7 linked regions of the Cricetulus griseus genome follow. The protein of the gene in region 3 interacts with the protein of the main gene of each other region in a pairwise test. Links are inferred from orthologs where the notes say so. Each region holds a gene or a part of one and is shown on either strand. Other genes may lie near its edges.

Evidence for each region.
Region 1: the proteins of Alas1 (region 3) and Ppl interact in binary tests that used the Homo sapiens proteins (3 or more experiments, as listed by UniProt). The two-hybrid records come from large-scale screens. The link is inferred for Cricetulus griseus from reciprocal best matches to the Homo sapiens genes ALAS1 and PPL.
Region 2: the proteins of Alas1 (region 3) and Tmsb10 interact in binary tests that used the Homo sapiens proteins (3 or more experiments, as listed by UniProt). The two-hybrid records come from large-scale screens. The link is inferred for Cricetulus griseus from reciprocal best matches to the Homo sapiens genes ALAS1 and TMSB10.
Region 4: the proteins of Alas1 (region 3) and Cdc73 interact in a two-hybrid assay, tested with the Homo sapiens proteins (3 studies listed by BioGRID and IntAct). The two-hybrid records come from large-scale screens. The link is inferred for Cricetulus griseus from reciprocal best matches to the Homo sapiens genes ALAS1 and CDC73.
Region 5: the proteins of Alas1 (region 3) and Zmat1 interact in a two-hybrid assay, tested with the Homo sapiens proteins (2 studies listed by BioGRID). The two-hybrid records come from large-scale screens. The link is inferred for Cricetulus griseus from reciprocal best matches to the Homo sapiens genes ALAS1 and ZMAT1.
Region 6: the proteins of Alas1 (region 3) and Poldip2 interact in binary tests that used the Homo sapiens proteins (3 or more experiments, as listed by UniProt). The two-hybrid records come from large-scale screens. The link is inferred for Cricetulus griseus from reciprocal best matches to the Homo sapiens genes ALAS1 and POLDIP2.
Region 7: the proteins of Alas1 (region 3) and Dusp19 interact in a two-hybrid assay, tested with the Homo sapiens proteins (3 studies listed by BioGRID and IntAct). The two-hybrid records come from large-scale screens. The link is inferred for Cricetulus griseus from reciprocal best matches to the Homo sapiens genes ALAS1 and DUSP19.

What each region holds. Positions count from the first base shown.
Region 1 is NC_048600.1:41,606,355-41,609,854, forward strand, and holds part of Ppl (periplakin), read left to right. Parts: intron 1-619; coding exon 620-770; intron 771-1,786; coding exon 1,787-1,870; intron 1,871-2,567; coding exon 2,568-2,684; intron 2,685-3,182; coding exon 3,183-3,275; intron 3,276-3,500. UniProt on the Homo sapiens protein: Component of the cornified envelope of keratinocytes. May link the cornified envelope to desmosomes and intermediate filaments. May act as a localization signal in PKB/AKT-mediated signaling.
Region 2 is NC_048601.1:64,695,442-64,698,319, reverse strand, and holds Tmsb10 (thymosin beta-10), read left to right. Parts: upstream 1-1,271; 5' UTR 1,272-1,405; intron 1,406-1,679; 5' UTR 1,680-1,691; coding exon 1,692-1,791; intron 1,792-2,073; coding exon 2,074-2,108; 3' UTR 2,109-2,378; downstream 2,379-2,878. UniProt on the Homo sapiens protein: Plays an important role in the organization of the cytoskeleton. Binds to and sequesters actin monomers (G actin) and therefore inhibits actin polymerization.
Region 3 is NC_048597.1:214,445,898-214,449,921, reverse strand, and holds the start of Alas1 (5-aminolevulinate synthase, nonspecific, mitochondrial), read left to right. Parts: upstream 1-1,224; 5' UTR 1,225-1,270; coding exon 1,271-1,469; intron 1,470-3,872; coding exon 3,873-4,024.
Region 4 is NC_048598.1:46,750,515-46,754,014, forward strand, and holds part of Cdc73 (parafibromin), read left to right. Parts: intron 1-22; coding exon 23-121; intron 122-2,468; coding exon 2,469-2,547; intron 2,548-3,500.
Region 5 is NC_048604.1:45,073,013-45,076,512, forward strand, and holds part of Zmat1 (zinc finger matrin-type protein 1), read left to right. Parts: intron 1-781; coding exon 782-888; intron 889-2,045; coding exon 2,046-2,147; intron 2,148-2,230; coding exon 2,231-2,405; intron 2,406-3,500.
Region 6 is NC_048600.1:91,900,370-91,904,456, forward strand, and holds the start of Poldip2 (polymerase delta-interacting protein 2), read left to right. Parts: upstream 1-1,287; 5' UTR 1,288-1,346; coding exon 1,347-1,507; intron 1,508-2,084; exon of another isoform or gene 2,085-2,214; intron 2,215-3,137; coding exon 3,138-3,219; intron 3,220-4,087. Other genes in the region: Tmem199 (transmembrane protein 199), read right to left, coding at 925-1,135. UniProt on the Homo sapiens protein: Involved in DNA damage tolerance by regulating translesion synthesis (TLS) of templates carrying DNA damage lesions such as 8oxoG and abasic sites.
Region 7 is NC_048599.1:94,487,311-94,491,303, forward strand, and holds the start of Dusp19 (dual specificity protein phosphatase 19), read right to left. Parts: upstream 2,801-3,993; 5' UTR 2,673-2,800; coding exon 2,450-2,672; intron 1-2,449.

The sequences.
Region 1 (3,500 bases), on a different chromosome or scaffold from region 3:
GCTTCCTTTAGGCAGCTTGCACTGGGTTTAATGTGCCTGTCTTCTTTTCTAAGGTGGGAGCTTAGATTGTTGTTGTTTCAAGATGCTTTCCCTTTCCTCATGTAAGAATTTAACATTGTAAAGGGACTGCAATGCTGAAATTTTCATCTTGAGGGAATTGGAGGGTTTCCCAGCCGCCACTGTAGCCTCCCTTTGCTCAAGTGCCCCTGTGACCATCAGGATGCAGCTCCTAACCCTCCCATTAATAATCCATGTTTAACTGTTGCTTTCTGGGACTGTTTCAAGTTTGTCCAGTTCAGTTACAGTTGGCTTTTCTACTCTTTTAAAACTCAGTGTGGCTACGAAGATAGTTTCAGTCAGAATAGTCCTTGTCACACAAACATGAGAACTGAGTTTTATCCCCAGCATACATGTAAAGGATAGGAGGCATGATGGCATGGATTTATAATCCTAGAGCTGTGGAGGTGGAAACAGGTGGACCTCTTGGAGCTCACTGGCCAGTCAATCTGACCTATTTACCTACATACATACAAACCAAGAAAGAACACCACCCCTCAAAACAGAGAGATCAGTGAGGCTTCTGCCTGCTGTGTAGACCAGATTGTCTTTGTCCCCTCAGGGCCCAGTGCCTGCAGAGTGCCAGAGCTGCCTACAATGAGTACCGCCGCGGTTATGACCAAGTGCTCCAATTCTTGGCTAACACCCCCACCTACCAGCCCCAGGAAACAGACAGCCTCAGCCAGGTGGAGACCAAGCTGAAGAACCAGAAGGTAAGATGGCTGCTTCTACTTTGCAGTGGATGTTTGGGAAGATCAGAAATCCTCAAGCCCAGTGAGGCAAGACAAAGGACTGGGCCACAGCTTCTAGTATCACCTCACAAGTACTGCATGTCTCGCTCACCTCTTCCCTCTTGATGCCCTTCATAGGGCTCAAAGCAACAGATATTCATGTGGCTTGGCCTCATGGCACCTGACAGAACATAGGGAACCCTCTGGGGGAAGATCTCATTATCAGTGTTGGGCTTTCTGCCTTTTCAGTGCCACAAGGACCTCAGAAATCCAATGGCCACGGCTAAATGATTTAGTCAGAAAAGCACTTGCCATGCAAACATGAGGACCTGAATTTGAGACCCAGAGCCCACTTAAAAAGCCAGTCATGGCTAAGCATGTCTATAACCCTAGCACTGAGCAGGGAGGAAAGAGGGACAAATGGATCCCTGAAACTCACTGGCTTGCAAGAATAGCCAAAATGGTTGAGTTCCAGGTTTAGTGAGAGATCCTGTCTGAAAAAATAAGTAGAGCACAATAGAGGAGGACACATGATGTAGACCTCCACATGTGCACACACAGAGATAGACAGAGAGACAGAGAGAAACAGAAATCCCATGGCTGACATCCAATTTGCTGTCCTTTCCTGAGCTTCTGTTTCCTCATTCTCAAGTTCCTCAGGCTTGGCTCACAAGTCCACTGGAGGATTGCATGCTCTGTCGGAACAGTGCCTGGCATTTCAGAGCACAATAAACACCTGTTTCCTGGCATAGATATTCATTTTCATGTCTCTTGCTCCAGGCCTTGGCATTGCCCTTTGTGGTAAACAAATGTACACAAGAAAGCCATCATTACACTTGGAACTATAGCATGTTGACTTTAGGTTCTAAGGATTCAGACTTTTGATATGTGTGTGTGTGTGTGTGTGTGTGTGTGTGTGTGTGTGTGTGTGTGTATACATGCATGCCCATGCAAATGCATTGGTTCAGTTTTGGTTTCTAGTATCTTTTGTTTTACAGAACTTGCTTAATGAGATAGCCAGCAGAGAACAGGAGGTGCAGAAGGTCTATGCAGATTCCCAGCAGTACCAGCAAGCTGTGAAGGTGAGCCATGAACCCTGTTAGAGCACACAGAAGGGGCTTTTGCATTATAAGATGCAGAGAAATCTGGACAGGTTACTGGGAAAACAGGAAGTAGCCATGTATAGGTCCAGCCCTCTGGCAAAACAGTATGGCACCAGGTACCCAATATCATCACATTTATACTCTTTGAAACAGTAAACTCTTTGTAGGCATTTATACTAAAAGAAAACAAAACAACAGAACAATGTACACCAAACAAAATTATGTGGCAGCTCTGTAACAGGAAAACAAACTAGCAAAGCCTGTGCAGAAATATCTGTGGGAATGATCAAGTCTACTTGATGGGAAATGTCAAGGTCTGTGATGGAGGAAAGGAGGACAAGTTCAGGATGTAGTGTTCACTAAGGAAGTGGTATCTGGCCTCTGGGCCTGTTGGAAGGGCTTCAAGAGTCACTTGGTTTGTCTCTGCAGTAGTGGGAATTTCAGAGCATTTTTTCTTGTATGTATATCGCTGTGTGAGATAGCAACTTGTCACTGTCTTAGAAACTCTCAGAACCTCCTGGCACCCAGCTCAGGTACAGATGTGAGGAAGATGTGCAAGACTGTAAAACCAGCTCCTGGCCAAGGGCAGGTCAGAGTCCTTAGATGGAGCATAAGTCATTGCAGCTGCTCCTTTGCTGCTGTTAGCTGACTACTGCACCGTCTTTCTTTTATCCAGGACTACGAGCTTGAAGCAGAGAAGCTGAGGTCCCTGCTAGACTTGGAGAATGGACGGAACAGCCATGTGAACAAGAGAGCCAGGCTGCAGTCTCCTGCTGCCAAGGTGAAGGAAGAGGTAAGCTGTGAGTGAAGACTGCCAAAGGCTCTCTGGATGCAGTCCTCTGTGATACACATGGAAGAGGAGGAAGAACTTGTTTTGGGGCAGTGATATCAAAATGCCTAAGAGGCAGAGAGACAGAGAGACAGAAAGAAACAGAAATCCCATGGCTGACATCCAACTTGCTGTCCTTTCCTGAGCACTGTTTCCCAGTGCCAGGCACATGGGAAGCTCCCATCTTGCTCCCCTGTGTGAGTCTGTAATGCAGAACCGTACATACTCTAACACATATGAAAAGACTATTTGGAAAGATTTTTCTCAAAGGTCACGTACCAAGACTCAACCTGGGTCTTCTAAGTCTACCTCTCCACCAATGGATGGAGCTATGGGTAGGAATGGGAAAGTACCACTCCTTTCACCACTTGCCAGGCTCTTCCTAGCCTGTGCCCAAGTGCTCTGTTTTTCTTCTAGCTTGTTAGCTTACCTGCTAACTGCTCTCCTAAAATTTCTCTATAGGAAGCTGTTCTTTCTGCCAAGTTCACAGAGGTTAATGCTATCAACAGACAGAGGCTGCAGAACCTGGAGTTTGCACTGAGTCTCCTGAGACAGGTAATCCACTTTAGTTAGAACTACTTCAGATTGTCCTACAAGACAAGAAACCAAAGATTCCTCTGCCTCAGAGACACGGTTCATGAATGAAAAGTGTGTCCTCTGTTGTCATTTCTGAGAAGGACCAATTCAAATGCTAGCCTGAGCCAGCCTTCTACACTAGCATGGAATAACTTCCATACCAATTCAAAAGACATTTGCTAAGGACCTATTCAAAGTTTTTTT
Region 2 (2,878 bases), on a different chromosome or scaffold from region 3:
ATGTGGTGGACAGCACAGAGCCAGGCATGGCAGCACAGGCTTTTAGCCCCAAGATTCAAGAGACAGGCTAATCTCTCTCTGTGAGTTCAAAGCCAGGCTGGTCTACATAGTAAGTTGCAGGTCAGTCAGGGCTACACAGTGAAGCCCTGTCTAAAAGAAATAATAATTAAAACAAAAGAAATTAGCACAGATCTTGTTGCATCAGTAAAAAATAAACTTTCTTTAAAAGATTTATTTTATGTCATGCGCATGAGTGTCTGCATGTGTATACATATGTGTGTACCCCACATACATACGTGGTGCCCAAGGAGGCCAGCAGAGGATGTGGGATCCCCTAAAACTGGAGCTACGGAAGTCTGTGAGCCACCGTGTGGGTGAGCCAACTCTCCAGGCCTCCAAATAAACTTTTATCACCTCAAGCCCTCTACCAAAGTTTTTTTTTTTTTTTTGGTGGTTGTCTATATGGACTGCCATTCGAGAAATAGTTCCCCTCTTCCTCTCCTGTCAGTGGAATATGCTCCACTACTCGACACTGGAATGGGGAATGGATGGTGAGTTTCACCCCTAGCTGAATATAATAAAACTTATTATCTAAGGGGGTTGCACAAGCTGAAGAGGTAAACTTTTCCAGGAATTCATATTCCACTCCCGAAATGGGTTAATAAGAAAAGCAAGATTTGCAGGCACACTGGCTTTTTCTTTTTCTTTTTAAAATCACATTCAAGGTTAACTGAAGGAGGAAAACCACACCCTCTGGTACAGTGTTCCTAAGAGACCTCTCACTGAGAGAAGGAACAGTGGAGCCCTCCCAGGACTCTCCAAGCTCCCACCTCCACCCTTAGACAATGCCCGAAACAGTGTGTTTTAAGAAGCACAAGAAAGGAAAGGAGGAGACTCTAGAGAGGCAAACACCAGAGACTTAGGGCGAGGCAAGCTGGGTGTCTCCCGCGAGCAGGGCTGCAGTAGAGCGCGCGTGCTCGCCCGCCCGCACACCCACAACCCCACACTACACATACACGCAGCAAAACCTCAGTCCTTCCCCGCTGCCACCCACGCCCTTCCCACGAGGTGAGCAGCAGGCTCCTGGGTACTGGGAGAAGGAGATGCAGCAGGGAAAGAGCCCGCAGAGAGCTTGTGTCTGCCACCCCACCGCGGGACCGCAACGGGCAAACCTCGCGGGCCGAGAAGGGCGGAGCCCGGGACTGCCTGGAGATGCTGAGCCCCCGACCCAACGCGCGCGCTGACCACGCCCCCCCACGGGCTGACCACGCCCCCGCTGCGGCGGGCGAGAGGCGGGGCGGGGCGCGGTGTATATAAGGCGAGGGGCGGGCGCCGCTCTTTTGTCTCTTGCTGCAGCAAGGCGAGTGGGAGCACCTGGAGCGCGAGCTCGGAACGAGACTCCACGGTGAGACACATCGCTGGGCTTAGGGCCTACCCTGGGTGGGGTCGGGGCAGCTTGTGGCTGGCGGGAGCGTTCCCCCTGGGTTGCAACAGGCGACCCGGCGGTTTGGAACATTCCGAGGCTGGCAGGCCACGCCCTGGGATTTAGGAGGGAGGGTGTGGTGGACGAGCCCGGGATCCTCGGCCTCCGGGCCGGGAATGCCACGTCGAGAGGTGTTCGCGGAGGGCGCAGGATCCAGGGATCGCTGGTCATCCCCAAGCCTTGGTTCGCCCATCAGGGTTCTAAGAAAATGGCAGACAAGCCGGACATGGGGGAAATCGCCAGCTTCGATAAGGCCAAGCTGAAGAAGACCGAGACGCAGGAGAAGAACACCCTGCCGACCAAAGAGAGTGAGTTCGCCCCCGCCTCCGGGTTCCCACCCCAGCACTCCACCCTTCCCTGCTGTGCCAGCCCGGCACCCCCCACCCCCATCCGGCCACTACCTCCCACCCCGAATCTGAGCGGCCACAGCCACCCTTCCAGTTACACAAAGCACTTTGTCCCTTCCAAATCCCCTTCTTGTCCCCAGGCCTCGTGGGTGCCTCACCCACGCCAGGTTTGTGAGGTGGGGGGTGGGTGGGCTGCAAGGTGGCTCGCTCCATCCTGCAATGCCCACATCCCGCCCTTCGCAGCCATTGAACAGGAAAAGAGGAGTGAAATTTCCTAAAAGCCTAGACTGGAGGATTTCTCCACCCTACCCCACCCCGTCATCTCCGAGACCCCCTCGTGATGTGGAGGAAGAGCCACCTGCAAGATGGACGCGAGCCACAAGCTGCACTGTGAACCCGGGCATTCCGCGCCGATGCCACCGGCCCGTGGGTCTCTGAAGGGGGACCCCCCCACTAATCGGACTGCCAAATTTTACCGGTTTGCCCTGGGATATTATAGAAAATTATTTGTATGATTGATGAAAATAAAACACACCTCGTGGCATGGCTGGCGTGGTCTGAATCTTTTAGTTGAGTATGCGTGGGCAGAGCTGCACTGGGAGTGAGTTGTGCCGCAGAGACGGGTGCGCGGCGGCGGGCGGGGGGGGGGATCACTTTTATTTTGGTTTTACGTGCTTTACCCTAAGGTTTCCTGGGTTCTCAGCCATTCGGCTCTCAATGCAAATTGAGTAAAATTTAACTCCATTTTGAAACATGCTGCCCAAAAGATTAAGATGGACTTCTGATCAGCTCTTCAAATGCCGCCCTGTAACCTCTCACGCATACCAGAAGCAGTGATTTAAAGTCTGAGAGGAAAGGGGACAAATAATCACTCTGGAATGTTGGAATTGGCGAGGGTCGGGGTCGGTCCCTCACAAACACACAAGGTTCTCCTCTACATGTTACAGAATGAGATGAAATAAAAAAAAAAAAAAAAACAAAGGCCGGATTTAGTGAAACAACTGTTTTATCAGAGCTTGCAGAACGGACATCAGAACTACACAACCAC
Region 3 (4,024 bases):
CCTAGGTTCAATCCTAAATGCTATATACTCCAGGCCAGTAGAAAAGCCCTGTCATTGCCATAAACAAAACTAAGCGCCTAGTTGATCAGCTTTTTCAGACCCATAACCCCTTCCTCTAAATCCCAGAAACCCTTTCACTATCAGGTAGCTTCCTGAGTGGCTGGTTTACGCCCTACTCGGGGGCGCAGGAGTCTGACGCACAGAGCTATTCGTGGAAGGTGACAGAGGGCGAAGGATGGGGTCCAAAAAGGGGCTTGCCCGCCCACTGCCTTGCCCTCTTGATCCTGGAAGCCTAGGCCCAAGTCACACTCGCCCAGCTGGAGCAGTGCCCTGTCGGAGACACTTGCTGCCCTGCCCTGCCGACTCCGGCGCGCGTGCGCAGGTCAGGCCGCGCCCTCGGCGCATGCGCAGCGGTCACTCCGGCTCTATATTAGGGCCACAGCAGTTCGTTGCATTCCCGAAGCTGCTATAGTGGGCCGGCGCGCCCCGCCACCGCGGCCACACGCCCCATCCCCCTCCGGCCCCCACCCAGGCTCAGCGTCCCCCACCACCACCCTCCCTCTACCTCTTAGGCTACCTCAGAGGCCCCGTTCCGTCCCCTCCTGACATTCGGCCTTTGAAAGGCGGCTTCATAATCTCCTTCCTACCCTTGCCATTCTCGAGCTTGCGACCCCGGGCAACCTCTGACTCACCGCTGACCCCCTTCCGCCAGCCCGACTCTCTGGGCTGGCTGGCCTTGCTCCTGCCCGAGTCAGCCCTGACCCTACCTACCCTCCTCTCTGCCTCCTTTCCCGGATCCAGCTCTAGGGGGCATGACCTTGTCTCGTGAACTCAGGGCTGGTCTAGACTCTTCCCCGTTCCCCCGGGTTGCTAGGATTCCCCAGGAGCCCTCCCTACATGGTGACAGTGACATCTTCCCTAGCCCCACTGTTGCCCCTGGAATATGTGCTGAGGTGTCTTACCAACACTGCACACCCTTCCAGGAGCCTCTGGCCTCCCACACCTATTCTGCTTTGTCCTCCATCTCTTTCACCCCCTTGGTTGTATTAATCGTCCCTATTTACTCCAGTGAAGATGCGTTGAGGGGTGGGCGTGGGGGTGGGGGCCTTTTATGTCGAGGTGGAGAATGAAGTTGGTGACTCCTTTACTGAGTCCCATGTCGGTGCTGTCCTTAGTTTTGTTTGTTTTTGTTTTGAGTGAGACGTGTATCTGGGGCACGCTTGACATCACTCACCATGGATTCTTCACAGGAACCAGCACCTTTGCAGACATGGAGACTGTGGTTCGACGATGCCCATTCTTATCTCGAGTCCCTCAGGCCTTTCTGCAGAAGGCAGGAAAATCTCTCTTGTTCTATGCTCAGAACTGCCCCAAGATGATGGAAGTTGGGGCCAAGCCAGCCCCTCGAACCCTGTCCACTTCAGCAGCACACTGCCAGCAGATCAGAGAAACCCCTCCAGCCAATGAGAGTAAGTAGGGCTAGCAGTAAGGAACACCTCCTGGGTGGTAAGGGCCACTCTGAGAGGGGGATCAACATTGTCTATGGGAGGGGGTCATCTTGTGTAACTGTCCCTCTGACTCCTGGATTAGGAGCTTTTCATGCTCCTGAATTTAAAAGTGAAATAAGACAGGCTTCTGGATTACATGTCAGGTCTGCTGGGTTCTAGTGTTTCCTCATTGTCTGGTAGGAGCAGTCACTTGCAACCTTTTCCTCAATAAAGATTTGGCCTTTGACTCATAAAGTAGCGATTTTAAAATCTGTTTAGTATTTTGAGTCAATGTCTCACTTTGTATCATATGCAAGCCTGGAACTCACTGTGTAGCCTGGGCTGGCTACAAGGACATGACCCCCGCCTCTGCCTCTCCAGTGCTGACGCCACAGACCTGAGCTACCACTGCCAGGTTTTGTTTTTATTTTTTAAAAGATATATTGATTTTACTTTATGTGTATGAGTGTTGGGCCGCACCACATGTATGCCTGGTGCCCAAGAAGGCTAGAAGAGGAGGTCAGATCCCCTGGAGAGCTACAGATGGTTGTGAGCCACCATAGCAGCGCTGAAAATTGAACCTGAGTTCTCTGGAAGAGCAACAAGTGCTCTAACCACTGAGCCATCCTTTTGTTTTATTTTGTGTTTTTCCCTTTAAGCAAAAAAACAAAAAAAATATTTTGTTAAAATGCAATAATATAAAATTTACCATTTTAGTTTTATTTATTTATTTATTTATTTATTTTGGTTTTTCGAGACAGGGTTTCTCTGTGAGCTTTGGAGCCTATCCTGGCACTCGCTCTGGATACCAGGCTGGCCTCGAACTCACAGAGATCTGCCTGCCTCTGCCTCCCAAGTGCTGGGATTAGAGGTGTGCGCCACCAACGCCCAGCTGCTTTTTATTTTTTTCTATCAGAGTCTCATAATATAGCCCAAATTGCCCTCCAACTTGTGGCAATCCTCCTGCCTCAGCCTGTTACATGGTAGAATTATAAGCATGCACTACTACAGTGTCTGTTCTATCATTTAAGTGTGTGATTCAGTAGATTACATGCATTCATGTTGTTCTACCACCGTGCCATTCCAGAACTTTCTTCAGCTTCCCAAACTAAAAGCTCCCATACTCCTTGCTCCAGTTCCTGGCAACCACCAACTCTCCTGTCTGTCAGCTTCACTGCTCTAGGTGTGTTAGTGATTGTCAGTGCATGCATCTGACACCGACAGAGAAGTTTTAGTGAATAGACCCAAATGGTCTCAGTAAGGTTCTGCCAGGAGAGGGGCTTTGCAGTGAATGTTTCACCTTCCAGGCTTCTCCTCAGTGTGTACCTGTAGGAAAGGAGCATTTGTTCTGTAAGTGGGCAGGACTTAGATCTTTAGGGGACTTCCTGTCCGGAGTCAGTTATCTTTTCTCAGAATGTCTGTAGTGGCCATGTATTGAGTTAGAATCATTTTCCCTTCTGTTGTCTAGACTTTCCATAACAGAACTGCATTGCTTGTAAAATTAAGTTAATTTCAAAATAACATTTCTTGACTTCCCTTTATAGAAAATGTTATGGAAACTGTATTGAGACACCTTACCCAAGTGGTAGAAAGAGCAGCCAGTGACTCATGGGAGTATTCCAAAATCTGCAGGAAGACTTTTCTAGAAGGAAGGTGAGCGCATTGCTCAAGGGATCGAGGAGTGACTGTAACTTAGAGCACAAAACCAGCTAGTTATGTTACATCAGCAGCTCTCTTTGGTGAACTTAAACAAGAAAGTAGGTGAGCTGTGTGACTGTAACCTGGGTCTTTCCAGGCATCCTGATAATTTGAACCCAGAGAGGACAACATGAAGATCTAAGTGATAGCCCACTTTTTTTTCCTGAAGTATTTTTAAAACTGGTTAAGCTTTATTAGGAATCTTCTTAGAAAACCGAAGAGAGAATAACTGGGACGGCTTCCAATTACCTTAGAGAGCATCTCCGTCCTGAAATAAGCTGAGTGTGCATGGGGCAGGAGAACCAAGTCAAGAGCTTTGGGGCTAAGTGCACACAAAATCCTAGCACTTAGAGGCTGAGGCAGGAGGATTGCCAAGTCAAGCATCATGGGCTGCATAGCAAGACCCTGTCTTAAACAAATGAAAAAAGAATGTTGTGTTGTCTGAAAGTATAAAATAGTGATCTTGGGTTTCTAAGGAGAACACATGTGAGTTTGAAAGGTGACTGGGATGGGCCAAAAAACCCTTCAAAGAACCGCTGTGAGACAGGTGAGAACGGATATTAGCAGAGTTTAACAAAGGTTATAGACTAGAACGAGCATGAAGTTTGAGGTGATAAGGCTCAGTGACTTGCTTGTGCACTCCGGCAAGCAGGTCTGATGTCTCATTCTTTCCATTTCCTTCCTCAGAAGAAAAGGCTGCCAAAGCTGCAGTCCAGCAGGCTCCTGACGAATCCCAGCAGACTCCAGATGGCACACAGCTCCCGGCTGGACACCCGTCACCCACTGCAAGCCAGGGCTCTGGGAGCAAGTGCCCTTTCCTGGCTGCACAGCTGAGCCAG
Region 4 (3,500 bases), on a different chromosome or scaffold from region 3:
AATTAGAATCTATTTGTTTTAGAATTTTTCCAAGAATATTTTTGCAATTCTTCAATCTGTAAAAGCCAGAGAAGAAGGGCGTGCCCCGGAACAGCGGCCTGCTCCAAATACAGCCCCTGTGGTAAGATTCTTTTCTGATTATGTTGTTGTTTTTAAGAAAGTGACATTCGTTTTGTATTTTAGTGTTTTAATTGACATCTTAAACAATTTACATCAGTAGGGTGTAAAAGTTTTGTTACTTCAGCATACTCAAAGGCTGTAAAAGACCCTTCCCACTTTTAAAAGTTATTTCAGCAATAATTTGGGTCATTCTTGAGATACACCTGGGTGAGAGTCTGAAAAGGGGTTAACTAGGAAAAGCCTTCTAAGTTAGTTAACTTTTAGGTTATCTGTAGCTGGCCTATTTATTACTTGAGAAAATTGTTAATTATTGTTTAAATATAAATCATTGTTACCTTCCAGTTTGGACTTGTTATTTGAAATCTTTTGTGACCATTTCATATTGGTATATTTATTTTCCCTTGTCACCTGCCATATGGCCCATTTATTGTACCCCAGCTTTAACTCCTCTGGTGGTTGAGCGCCTCACTGTTTAAGGTTATTACTTAGGACCCTCCAAACCCTAAATTCATGCATGCCATATAGTCTCCATTTAAATTCATAAATACCCTCTAGTTTGCTGTAAATCTTTCTACCTGTTCTCAAGATTCAAGAAAGGCAAAAAATATAATTCAGATTAATTGTGTTTTATATAGAGTTTGGAAAAACATTGGTAGAGTGCTAAACATAGCCTTGGAAGTTAATATTAATTTTATTTATGCATGAAATCATTGATATTTAATCTTTACAGATACTGAACTATTGGTAATATTTAGATACCTTTAGTTGATGTACCAAAAATAACTAGTATCTGGTTGTTCTGTAATGTTTTGAGCAACTAGAGATAAAATAATACAATGTCATAGTTATCATTTTTAGTAAGTCAGATATTAAACACATTTATAAAATTTCAAGTTTTAGTCTTACTACTTTTTTGGTGGATTTTGGAAAATAATTTTTATTAAATATGTTTACATCGAATTTTGCTTTTCTTATTTTTTTAAGGAGTCAATTCCTACTTTAAAAATTTGTCAGTTTTTATCTTTAGTGTCATAAATTGTAACTTTAGCTTAAAGATTTTTAGAGTCCTCAATAGTTATTGGTAGGAAGAATGTGAAACCTTAAGATATTTAAACCATTGTCTTTGTGAATGTGAGTATTCCTTCTGTGTATTTTATAATCATTGAAAACAGTTGCAATATTTATGTTTGGCATTTGATCATACAGATGTATATATGTAGCTAAATTCTTGATAATTTTTCTTTTGTAATATTAGAGTGTAATCCTATTGTAACAAAATGAAGAATATATAAATATAGTGATTTTCCTAGGTAACTTTAAAATGTTTTTTTAAATAACTATTTTTAGGTTATTATAGACTATAAGTTTAGTATGAAATATTTGAATTAGATTACATAATTAGAAAGTGTCTATTTTCAAATTTTTAAAACTAACATCTATTACTTTAGTCTTATAGTATACATTAATAAGTGTTTATTGAATGCCTGTTACTTTAGTCTTTTTTTTCTTATTCTTTTTTTTTTTTGTTTTTTTGAGACAGGGTTTTTCTGTGTTTCTTTGGAGCCTATCCTGAGACTTCCTCTGTAGACCAGGCTGGCCTCGAACTCAGAGAGATCCACATACATGCCTTTGCCTCCCGAGTGCTGGGATTAAAGGTGTGCACTACTAACACCCTGCTTTCTTTTTGGTTTTTTGAGACAGGGTTACTCTGTGTAGCCCTGACTGTCTTGGAGCTCTCTCTGTTCAGATTATCATTGGAGAGAGTATTATTTCACAAAGTCATTTAAGTAATTAGAACGTATTTGTTTACCATATTATTTCTGCAGTTTTGATACAGGTATACTTGAAATTGTCTTTATTCTTGGTGTAGGGATGGTCAAGTTTTTGTTTGTTTGTTTGTTTTTTGTTTTTCGTGATAGGGTTTCTCTGTGGCTTTGGAGGCTCTCCTGGAACTAGCTCATGTAGACCAGGCTGGTCTCGAACTCAGAGATCCGCCTGCCTCTGCCTCCCAAGTGCTAGGATTAAAGGCGTGCTCCACCAACACCCAGCGGGATGATCAATTTTTAGTAGCAAATAATATTCAATAGTGAATCCTAGTTATCAAATGCCAAGTAATCTTACCTTATTTTGTCTTCTGGCCTATATTGGGAATAACACTTTTTTTTTAAGATTTTATTTATTTATTATGTATACAACATTCTGCTTCCATGTATATCTGCACACACAGAAGAGGGTACCAGATCTCATAATCAGGTTGTGAGCGACCACTCCAGCCCCTGTATCAGGTTTTAAGAATGTTAAATAAGCCCTTTTTTTTTTCCTTTTTTTTTTTTTTTTTTTTTTTTCAGGATCCCACATTGCGTACGAAGCAGCCTATTCCAGCTGCCTACAACAGATATGACCAGGAAAGATTCAAAGGCAAAGAAGGTAAGTTGCTTGTTTCATATCTTCTTCTCATCCTGGTCATGCTGAGTTTGAGTGGAAGTATAGTTTGATATTTAAGAATAAAGGTTGTCAAGTAACCTATGTAGTCCAGATATAGTTCAGTCACCTGCTTCTATAATAAAAGTTTTTGTTGTTGTTGTTTAAACAGCCATATTTACTCATTTATATGTGATCTGTAGCTGTTTAACTCTGACAACTCTTGTTGAGTAGTTTTGAGAGAGGTCATATAGCCTGTAACACTTAAAAATAGTGTTTGGACTCTATAGAACAAAATTGGTTACCCTCTTGTTGGTAGCTTTGCTTCTGGATTCAGATGGCTTGTGTTTCAGTTAATTTTTGTATGGATTTTATTTTTATTTCAACTGTATTCGGTCATTACCTCACATCTCTAATTAAATGTTAATAGCACTGACAACTTGTTGCAGCCCAAAAGTGACTCAGTTTCCATCTGGAGTCTGTTCTGACTTATAAGACATTAGAGTTCAAGCTTGCTTGTTTCAGTCTCCTTGGGAGCTGTGAGAAAGTTCTGATCAAGCCTATGGAAAAGAACAAATTATCTAACTAACAAGCTTCTGATTCCAGCCAAAAGGCATATAGAAATAGGGAATGAAGCTGCTTGTTGCTAGCAGGACTCAAGTGACAGAGAGTGAACCTGGCCTCTCTTTGATTCAAGGACAGTGCAGAGAGCTGGTTAATTGACTATGCTGTTCTTTGTTCTGCTTTGCCTGTAGTCTGTATATAAACAGGATCTAAATTAAACTCTGTTTGGTGTGCTGAAAGACATGGACCGGGCAGTCCTCCCCAATCTATCCTGTGTTTCTGTCTGTTTCTTTTATATTCCTTTACTCAATCCTCACATCCCTACTTAGATTACCCAGCTGACTCGTTGGAGCAGGCTCCAACAATAACTTAATTCATAGGGTTACTTCTGGGAT
Region 5 (3,500 bases), on a different chromosome or scaffold from region 3:
GGCAGAGGCAGGCGGATCTCTGTGAGTTCAAGGCCATCCTGGTCTCCAGAGCGAGTGCCAGGAATAGGCTTCAAAGCTACACAGAGAAACCCTGTTTCAAAAAACCAAAAAAAGAAAAAAGAAAGTGAGTGTTATACAAACTTGCTCATTTAAAAAGCCAAATTAGCAGCAAAGGTTTGATTATTTTAATTAATAACCTATAGATAAACCAATAAACATTGACAGAAGAATCCACTGAAGCTGTTAAGAACATTAGATGTAAATGTGGACTTAAAGTGTAGATATAAAACTATCGGGTGTGTGCTCTTTATTATGGACACAGGAACTACAGCATAAATTTCCGGATTGTAGTATATGAACATTGCTTTATATATTTGGAGGGAGACTTATGTGAAATTTATGTGAAATTTGTGTGTTTACAAATAAGTGCCCTGGTATTTTTGTAATGATGGAAGAAATTTGCCCTTGTGATTTTTAAATAACACTGGAGCCATATCTCATATAGCAGTCTTATAAACCTTAGGATTGTATTATATTTTTAGGATTGTTTTCTGTAAAGAAAAAATATCAAAACTATCTTTTTAATTCAGCCTTTCATTACTGCTTCCTTAAATCATTCTGTGAAGTTTCCTGAAGTTACTTGTGTCCATTTAACTAATGTTACTGCCTGGACATCATTAAATGGCATATTTGAGGAAAGGGCTGTTACTGCATACTCCCGAAAATTTGATTAATTCAAACTTCATTGATATGGTAGTTTTTTTCTTTACTTTATTAATAGATGCCACCTGTGATGGACAAGAAAGATCTGCATATTTTACAGATGATTTTTGTCAAGCATGTGGAGTGGTACTGCATCTTGAATCAGAAAGGATTTCACATTATGAGGTTGGTTAAATACAGTGGGAACAAAGATGAGAAAACATATTTTTAAGTGTAGCAAGTCAGCTTCATATAAGTCACCTTACTTGATTAATTTAAGAACCTGAAACGTGGTAACACTTCCATTTGACAGACAAGAATATTGGCTCAGGAAAAGAGAGTCACATACAAATTTAAGTTTATGGAGTCCAGATTAAACTCATTGGTTTTGACCACAAAGTTCCTTTTCTTCACACCATTCTGTCTCCCTTTGTATTCTCTGTTATTGTAGTAAATATAATGTAGGTATTAGCAACTTTGAGCGATGCTGTAGAACTCCTAGAGTATTCATGTATAATAAATGTAGACTATTGATTTGGCTTGTCAGCTTCCTGCCTTTGAAATTGAGAGAGTCATAAGCCTCCCACCCATCCCCAGATCCATTGACAGTTAGCAGTTGCTAGGAGAAAGGAGATCATGAGGCCTCATCACTCCCTGTGCAGCTATTGGCAATTGATGGTTGCTGGGATGGGAGAGATTTTTGGCAGTGATATAGTCCCTGATAAGGTGCTCATAATCCTGTAAATATCTTTTACTAATCTTCATGTAAGTTTTCCTTATGAAGACAATTGTGGCACATATAAAAAGACATGAAAGTAGAAGGGTTCATCAGTTGGGAAGAGGGAATTAGCAGGCACTATAGAAGAAAAGAGATAATGTAATATAATGAAAATATATACATGCATGAAAATGTCATAATGAAACCTATTATTATGTTTAACAGAAAAATACTGACTTCTAAGTTGTAGAGTCATTCATTTTAATTTGAACTGAAGTTTAGAGTGAAACTCTTTATAGTTATTGTAGTCATGGGTTGAGGATGTAGCTCAAAAGTATGTCACTTGCCTAGCCTATTCAAGGCCCTGATCTCAAAAAAAAAAAAAAAAAGGTTTACTAAGTCTGCTAAAATTGATGTCTCATGCCGAGTGGTGGTGGTGCTTTAATCCCAGAACCTGAGAGGCAAAGGCAGGTGGATCTCTGTGAGTTCAAGGCTAGCCTCTGTTACACAGAGAAATCCTGACTCAAAAAAAAAATTGATGTCTCCTGACCTCACATTCAGAAAGGTGTATATTTTAGGTGTATATTTAGTGTTAAATAAACAAAGTCACATCTTTTTTTTTCAGAGTGAAATACATGCTCAAAATGTTAAGTTCTATTTTCAAGTGCATGGGGAACAAAACGAAGTGCCTGGTACAAAAGTGAACATGCATGTTGAGAATTCTCAGGTGAGCTGTCTGTGTTGAATATTATAATTCTGATCTGTCAGTTTTTTAATCTTTCAAAAATAAAAAGATTGTGATTTTTACAGGTGTACAAGAGTGGAGAAGTCAACAGAAACAAATTCAGTGGTTTCTGCAACATGAGTTTTGACTCCTCAGCTGTTGCTCAATCTCATTATGTGGGACAGAGCCATCCACAAAATCAGAAGCAATTACTGGAAGAACATGATAGAGAATCTCCATCAGGTTGTCAACCAAAGATGGGTAAGATTCTTTTTATCTCTTTATCTCAGATACAAACTCTATCTTTTCCCCACACTGTACCATCCCTTTTGGGGAGCAGACTTTCACTACAGTTCAAACAACTTGAATGTTCTTCTGCTCAGTAAATCGCTTTCTGTGTCCTTGCCTGTGGAGATAATTGTTAACTAAATTTTAAGAAATATTATGGTCACTATTCGTTTCACTAAATCCACATAAAGCAAGTGACTGCTATATGTGATAAATAAAAACAAGCAGCTAGAGAAATAAAAACCCTTAGATATTTTTATTATACCCCCCTTGGTATAATCTTTTGATTACTACTTTCTAAAACTTCATCTCACTTCTTTATTCAGATCAGTGTCTTCACTACAGTATAGTTATATACTATACTATGTGTGCTGCATAGTATGTTTATCCCCTGGAGAAGGGGAAAGGGACAAGATCTGCCGAGCTAATTGGGAACACGGGCAGTGGGGGGTGGATCTAGGAGAAAGAGAAGGGGAGAAGAGGAGGGGAGAGGAGGACATGAGGTAACAGGAAGATTGAGTTGGGGGAAGAATAGAGGAGAGCAAGAAAAGAGATACCATGGTAGAGGGAGACATTATAGGTTTAAAGAGAAATCTGACACTAGGGAAATGTCCAGAGATCTACAAGGATGACCCCCAACTAACAATCTAAGCAATAGTGGAGAGGCCTCCTTAAATTTCCTTCCCCTGTAATGAGTTTGATGATTACCTTATATGCCATCCTGGAGCCTTCATCCAGTAGCTGATGGAAGCAGAAGCAGAGATTCACAGCTAAACACTGAGCCAAACTCCTGGAATCCAGTTGTAGAAAGGGAGGAGTGATGAGCAAAGGGGTCAAGACCAGGCTGGAGAAACCCACAGAAACAGCTGACCTGAACAAGGAGGAGCTCATAGACCCCAGACGGATAGCTGGGAAACCAGCATAGGACTGACCCAGACCCCCTGATCGTGGGTGTCAGTTAGGGGGCCTGGGCAATCTATGGGGCTTCTGGTGGTGGATCAGTATTCATCCCTAGTGTACAAATGGACTTTGGGATCCCACTCCACATAGAGGGATACTCTCTTAGCC
Region 6 (4,087 bases), on a different chromosome or scaffold from region 3:
TGTGCCATGACCAGCCTTGTCATCATTTTCTATCTCTTTTTATTCATTCATTTTTCTTTTTACTCAAGATTATTTTTCAACCAAGAAATATTTAGGACAATTCCACCTAAGTATTTCCTAGTACTACACAGTTGACTTTAACTGTCAGTCTTCAATTATCCTGCCAATGGGAGGTTATTTCTGTGAAAATAATAGATCTGTCCTAGATAGAATTGGGTCGTTGTGATGCTAAACACTCAGAGGGCATTGTATTGGAGGATCTTTTTCTAAGGTTCTCTTAAAGTCCTAATAGTTGAAGGTCTACTCTTTGCACTTCTGGCTGGAATATTAATTCTGGCAATACATGTTACATGCCAGTTTACCCTACTCCCTCCCTTAACAGATAAGGAAATAGGTTCAAAGAAAGAGGAGAAATTCTTTGAAAGGACTAGAACTAGATGAGACTCTCAGTTCAGAACTTTCAATACAGTTGCTTTTATTTCTTTCCTTTTTGTTATTATATTTCCCTACCCTCACCCCAACAGGGTCTGGGGCGGGGATCAGAAATCTCCACCCTTGCCTTTGAGATGTAAGGAAAGTAACTATTCCAAAACAGAAGCTCACTACGTTAAATGACCTCAAAATGGAGAAGCTCAACATGGTAGAAAATATTGCGCTAGAATCCCGAATTCCTTAAAAGTCAGGTGGACTTAGGTAGACCTAAAAGTGGACACTCAACAAAATCTGCACAAATACGTTTTGTCACACATGAAGAATGCCCACGGAACTTAAGATGGAAGTGGTGAACCCGGGGCTTATGAGGAGGGTTCTGGACTGGCTAAATGAGAACTTGGCAGGCACGCGAGAGTGACAGGCGAAAAAAAAGGCCTCAGAAGGGATTAGCGGTGAAAATGAGGCTGCGACTCTTGACTGGGGAACGCTCACTTCTTTCTCTCAGGTGCTGATGCAGTTCTCGGATCAGACGGAAGGGAATCAGGCGAAGGGGGCCCGTGGCGTTATCTCTGCTCGTGTGTTTCTTCCCCAGAGCAGCCTCGAGCTGGGCACGCAGCTTCCGGGGCAGCTGCTCCCGTTCCAGTTCTCCGCCAGGGCCCAAAGCGCGAACCAGTCGCTCACCACCAAGCAAGGAAGACGCCATTTCTAACGCACGCTCCGGTCAGGTGATCCCAGAGTGGGACTTCCGCTCACCTGCGCCGGATGTAGCTGGAGGAGCCCGCGCGGACGCGGTGGGCGGGCCCGAGGGCCAGGGGGCGGGGCTTAGGCGCGGGGCAGTGTGGGGCGGGGGCGGGACGCCGCCCCGCCGCGGGTCGGGCCCTGTGTCAGCAGCCGAGCGGGCGCTCGGGCGGGACATGGCTGCCTGTGCGGCCCGACGGGCCCTGGCCGTGGGCAGCCGCTGGTGGTCACGGTCTCTGGTCACGGCCCGAGGGTTGAGGCCGCTGTGTGCGGTCGGTGGAGCAGGGACCCTTCCGCTGGTGGCCACAGCGACGACGCGAAGGCATCTATCGTCCCGGTGAGGGACGGAGCCAGGGGGCCAGGGAGCCAGGGAGCCGGGCCCAGAATTTGGGGAGCATGTTCCTAGCCACTGAGGAGACCGGGAGGCCCGACTGTTTGTGGGCAACCGGAGTGTCACCTGAGAAGTGGTCCCGAGTAGGGAGCCGACATGCGCTGCTTGGGACATGTGCCAGGAGCAGAGAAGGGAGCACGGCCCAGGGCCCTGGCAGTGCAGGGCAGCTCCGAGGGAGAACAAGTAACGCTTCTTCAGCGAATCTGCCTCCCTTGCTAGGGTCCCCAGCACCTGTAGTGGGCTGCCATTTAATACAGCTACAAGGATTTTGACTTTGATCCCCAGCCCCTCGTGGATCATGGCTTCTCTCAGAAAGATGCTATTAAGTGGAAAACAAGTCGACTTAAGTGTCTACCTTTGTGGGTCCTGGGTTTCCGTGTGACCTTGGGGAGACTGGTTTTTGCCTATGTGACTTGGGAAAGAGGGTTCCAGGCTTGGGGATGGTGTAAACAAAGTATTTTAGGGACCAGACAGGATTGATCGAGTTGGGTATGAAGTTAGAATTTCCAAAATAAAATCACAGTGCTCTGACGAGTCCATAGAAAAAGTAGTCTTATTTAAAAGGGTAATTGACAGGTGCAAAAATAAACCCTCTCTTGCAACCCAGAACTCATTGTTCAGTATGAGTTTTGATCCATACAAGTAGGAATATAAGATAGCACAAAGGGATTATGGTATGGTGAGGTTGGCTCTATCTATCCTATAATTTAAAGGCATAGGTAATAATAGTAATAGTAAAACTAATGTGATGAAAAAATAAAAAGGTAATTGATGGAACTGTGGCTGAGGGAGGTATCTGCTATTTAAGAATTAAATAATTCTGGGAGGATGGTATGTAAAGAGACTGCAGTACTAAGTGTACTTTGTGCTGATCCTTTGGGAATCTAGAGATGTTAAGTCTTCAGGTCATGGTAAAGACAGTTATAGTTTAGAGGGTAGATGGATGTGTAGAATTGGGAGAGTCATGCTATGTAGCCAGGTTGACCCAGAACTTGTGATTTTCCAGCCTCAGCCTCAAGAGTTCTGAAATTACAGACTTGTGGGAACCATGTTCAATTCAGAACAATTTTTCAAAGTAGCAGATAACAGGTTTATTAAGCATACTGCAAGGAAGCAGTGGGTAAGAGCAGAAACAGCAGAACTGCTTGCCCCAGAACAAATGCCTTTTGAGCACCTTTTACATACTAGGCATTGCTGTCAGGGAACAAATAGTCTCTCATGGACACCAGCAAAACAGGAAGGACAGTTAAAATGCTGTGGTAGTCCAGGGGGGTGGGGAAAGATGTATATTTAAAAAGGATATGCAGGCATGACCTTGGAAATGCTAAGTGAAGAAAGAAGAAAGTAAATTTGGAGTAGTTAGATCTAACACTGGGAGACTGGGAAAGTCTTCATCAAATAGAGGCCTGTGGATGGGTCTTAAGGGAAAAAAAACAGCATCCTTGGCCTTTGCTGTCATTGCCCTGGCCCCTCAGTCTGATAGGGGTTATTTATTTGTTTGTTTGTTTCTGATGGAGAAGGACTGTTACCTTCTCAGCATTTCACTTGCTTATTCTTTTTCTTCCTTCCCAACTAGAAACCGTGCAGAAGGCAAAGTGTTGGAGACAGTTGGTGTGTTTGAGGTGCCAAAACAAAATGGAAAATATGAGACTGGGCAGGTAGGTATTATGCAGGGTCAGCTCTCGCTCTCATGGGATATTCTATTTCTGAGTGGAGCCAAATTTTGTCACAATACTGAATCTCAATGGCATTTTTTTTTTCTTTTCATTCCATGTTCCCTTCCCCATAGTGCTAGAGATGGGTGCTGTATATAGCTGAGTTGCCCCCTCTCCCCCTCCCAAGCTCCCATCCATCTTCATGCTTGGTGGAAGACCAAGATCCTAAGTTTTGGTTTTGTTTTAAGGCTCATCATTCTATAACCCAGGCTGACCTTGAACTTGCAATACTGTCTTAAATTATGGAATCCTGGGGTTACAGGTGTATGAAACCATGCTCAGCTCAGAATCACAAAATTTTTAAAAAACAATGGATCCAGGTGGTGTTGGTGTACGCCTTTAATTCCAGCACTCAGGAGGCAGAGGCAGATGGATCTCTGTGAGTTCGAGGCCAGCTCCTGGTCTACAGAGTAAGTGCCAGGACAGGCTCTTACATTACATTGATTCACACACACACACACACACACACACACACACACAGAGAGAGAGAGAGAGAGAGAGAGAGAGAGAGAGAGAGAGAGAGAGAACGCACCATTGCATGGAGATCAAAGGACAGCTTGTGAAAACTGGTTCTCTCCTCCCACCATGTGAGCCTTGGATCAAGCTCTGGTCTTTATGTTTGGTGGCAAATGCCTTATCCAGTGAATCATCATTTAACTGGCCTAAAAGATATTTACATTTATTTAATGTTCATGCCTATGTGTTAGTGCATATGCATACTATGTGAGCATTAGGATCGTAAATTTTTTAAAGATGAGGTTTCTGGAGATAGGTGTACAGTAGCATCAAATCCCATTGCTCCAAAAGCAGG
Region 7 (3,993 bases), on a different chromosome or scaffold from region 3:
CTCTACTCTCCCACACTGGGAGATGTTTATAAGCAAATTCTTATCTGAGAATGGTCAGTTAGCACAGAGCAGGTTTCACAAATGATCAAATGGGACATTTACAATGAAGGATTTCAAGAATTTTACTTTCCTGTGGTTCCATTTCCATAAACCATGCTTTCCCCCTCCCCATCCATATCTGAGGACTCAGCCAGCTTCCCTCACATGATTTCAGGTAGCCGAGGGGCCACAAGTACACAGTGGGTCCAAGCTGAGAGGTTCCTTACTAAACACACATTCTGCTTCCTACTTGGAAACTGGACTTCCAAAATATGGGCATTTAGTAAATAGAAATGGTGGGTTCAGAAATTGTCTGTTCTCTCATCTTTCTGTAATTTTATGCCAGTTTTAAATACTTCACAACTAAAACATAATTCTCAGTTTTTAACTATAGGAAGTCTTAACCATGTTGGGATTGGGGAAAATGTTCAGATAAATTCCTTTTAATTTAATAGTTTAGTGAACATACCATCTTTTAACTAATTATCTTGTTCTGTTCTGCTTGTATTTTAAAATAGTAAAAACTGCAACATGGCTTAAATGAAATTCTTTCCCTTTTCACTGCTCACTGACTGCTTTGGTAAACAGACAGACACTCTCTCTCTCCTTCATACTCTCCCTCTCCCCCAACCCTTCCTTCCTCCCTCCCTTCCTCCTCCCCCTTCCAAACCTGAAACAGACAGGTCAGGTTAATTCTGTTTCAGAAACAGTTCATGTATATTCTAAGTGACTTCCAAATTATAACAGCATTGACATAAACACTGTGTGTTTGTGGTGTTGAGGCAAGTACTCTATTGCCAAATCTCACTATGGTGCTCAAGCTGCCCTCACTCTGTAGCCCAGGTAGGCTTTGAACTAGTTATCATCCTGCCTTGGCTTCTGGAAGAGCTATCATTGCAGCTAACTTAATGTATTTACTTATTTATCCATTTACATTTTTTTCTATTTATTGTGTGTAAGAGACAGAGTGGGCAAGAAGGGGAGAGGAAGAGACAGAGACAAAGGATAGACAAAGATAGAGTGCCTGAGTGACTGTGGAGGTCAGAAAAAGCATCAGGAGGTCAAATAACTGAAAAGCACTCATCTGCACATTATCATACAGTGAACAAGATCTGAACTGTCCCCCTCAGCCAAATAATTCACTTAAGTTTTTGCTGTTCATTTGGTGAGAAGATAACATAATATTGTTCTCTGAGTTGCAAAAACTATCTGGCTTTATCCATTCAGTCAATTTAAAGACAGTGTGTTTGACAATTCTTAAGATACATGATATAACAATAATTTACACTGAGTTTTGTCAAGAAACATTCACACTGTCAGAACAACTTTATATGGTGTTTCTTCAATTAAAGTAGATGGATCAATGGATGAGAGCACTTGTTGCTCTTGCAAAGGACCTGCGTTTGAGTCCTAGCACCCACAAGGCAACTCACAACCATCTATAACTCCAGTTTGTGGGAATCTGATAACCTCTTGTGATCTCTGAGACTACCATGCACATGGTGGACATGTATACATACACACAATACATGCACATAAAATAAACTAAAAAATATTTTGAGCAGATGGTTTTTGGAGGTCTAGGGAGAACAAAAGAATTGTACCACCTAACGTAAGTCTAACTGCAAACAACATAGTGTAACGACAGAGAGTACCAGCCAGTCAGACTTGGACTTGTTGCCCAACTCTGCTATTTACTGAATCTGTTACCTGTGCAAATTACTTACCCAATATTAAAGCCCAGTCCCTGTTTATACCGTGAAGACAAACCCTACTTTGAGACCTTTAAAAGAATTGTGGGTATATGTAACACCTGGTTCGGTGACCAAATGTTAATTTCTCATTCATAAATGTAAAGTAATGCAGACCTATGGGCTAAGCTGCTTTCTAAAGAATACCATACCAGATCAACAAGATAACAAGTGAGTTCTCTTACATGCTTTCTTCATTTGCTATTTGTGGATGGTGCTTGCATACAACTTCAGTACTTCCGTATTACAAGATATGAGGCTATCAGACTGTAAAATAGAAGCCTTGTTCTCAACACACCAAAGACAGACATTATGAGCAATGTAAGAAGCACGCTTTCAATCGCCAAGGAAGCACTTGCTTTTTTGTGCATTTTTTAAAGAACGTAGTCTTTTTATAAAACAAGAAAACATAACACCCCGTTTTCCTCCAGAGAAACTTAGACAAATAAGGGAAAGAAAAATTTCTTCTAAAATTCTATAATCAGGTGTCAAAGTGATAATTGTCGTGGTGACAGAAACGTCCCTATTTTGTTCCTCACCTTAAAAAGTAGACATTTCAACTTTTCATCAGGATAGCTGACAATGATTGTGTACAGTGGGTTATTATGCATAGAGGAGGCTAATGGCAAAGGAATCCAGTGGCAAGTCAGTCTACTCACCCAGAAGCAACCAGGGCTTAATAACGCCAACTTGCAGGTCCAAGCTAAGGTCCTGCACATAGCCACAACCACCCCCACCGCTGGGCTCTGCTTCCACAACATGAACTGTGGCATCTTTCCAGCTTTCTATAATTTTCTTTCCAGTTAGCGTGGTCACCCTGGTGCACTGCTTCCTGAGATTATTCCGGGAGAATGCTTTGATTTCTTGGTTCAGGGAGTGCATTACATGAGCGGAGGAGGAAAAGCAGCAAACACAAAGAAACTGCACTCACTACCAGTCACTTACAGTAGCTGGCCGCGGAGGTGACAACCGCACCTCTGACAGAGAGCAGCTCAGCCCTGCTGTCCCCAGCACCGTTCTAAGAAGAGATCTCATTGGCTGCTAAGAAACAGGGACCGATTGAATGCCGCTTCTCATTTGTTGACGAAGTTCTGTGCCTTCCGGGTCCATTCAGACGCAGCTCTGTCGGGGCTTGTCTTTAGTGTTTGATCCCTGCATTATCTTGGACACGGGATGGTCATTTCTAAGACTCACCTGAAGAGAGTTGGTACCTCCTGGCTCTCCAAGGGTAGTGCTTTCTGGGAATGTTCGACTACTTACGATGGTGACGGTGGAGACTGCTGCTGAACCATCGACTCTTCCACCCTGCCCGGATCCTCTTGTGGCTCACTGGGCCTAGCCTAAAGGGGCTACAGTGGCTTCCAGGGCCTGCTCCTCTTTTGTCTTCCTTTTTTTTATTTTTTATTTTTTTATTTCTGCTGTTGCCCCCGGGAGAAACATTAACTAGATAAAACCACTGAATATATTAGTGTGGCTCCAACTGAAATGCAATGTAAATAAAAGGTCGTTTTAAATATGTTCCTGTAGATTAGCAAGGCTTAAAATTTGTGTATTCGGATTTTGCACGCCTTAAATACTGAAAGCATGGCCGCAATTGGAGACATAGTTGAGAAAAATCAAGTATACAAACCTAAATATACCAAACGAATGAGTAGAATGATGCTTTTGCCCGCAAAGGATGATTTGTTTCGTAAAATGAAACTACAAGATTTCTTCAACTGAAATTTTCCTACTAACCCTTACTAAAAGGCATTTTTTAAGGTAATTTGAATGTGATGTATAATGTTAAGACTTCAAAAAATGTATTCACCAGCATTACATACAAACATTTGAAACTTTCTGACATTAAAGTTAGTTTATGGGCTGAATTTTTATGTCCTTTCAAAATGAGTTGAAATTATAGGCTCAAGTGTCTTGATATTTGGAGATAGGACTTCTGGAAGGATAAATAGTCTTATATTAAAACATATGACATGTTTAATGGCTTCATGAAAAGGGAAAAGAACTCTTCCTTCCCTTACCCTGTACCAGATAAAGGAGAATAAAGGAAATTGGGAGTAGTGGATGTCCTCAAGCCCAGAGTGGGAACACACCAGAAACCTTGTGTAGGCCAGCACCTTGATTTTATATTTCTTGACCTCCAAACCACAATAATTACTTTTCTCATGCTTACGCTATACAGTTTATACTTCTTGTTAACGGC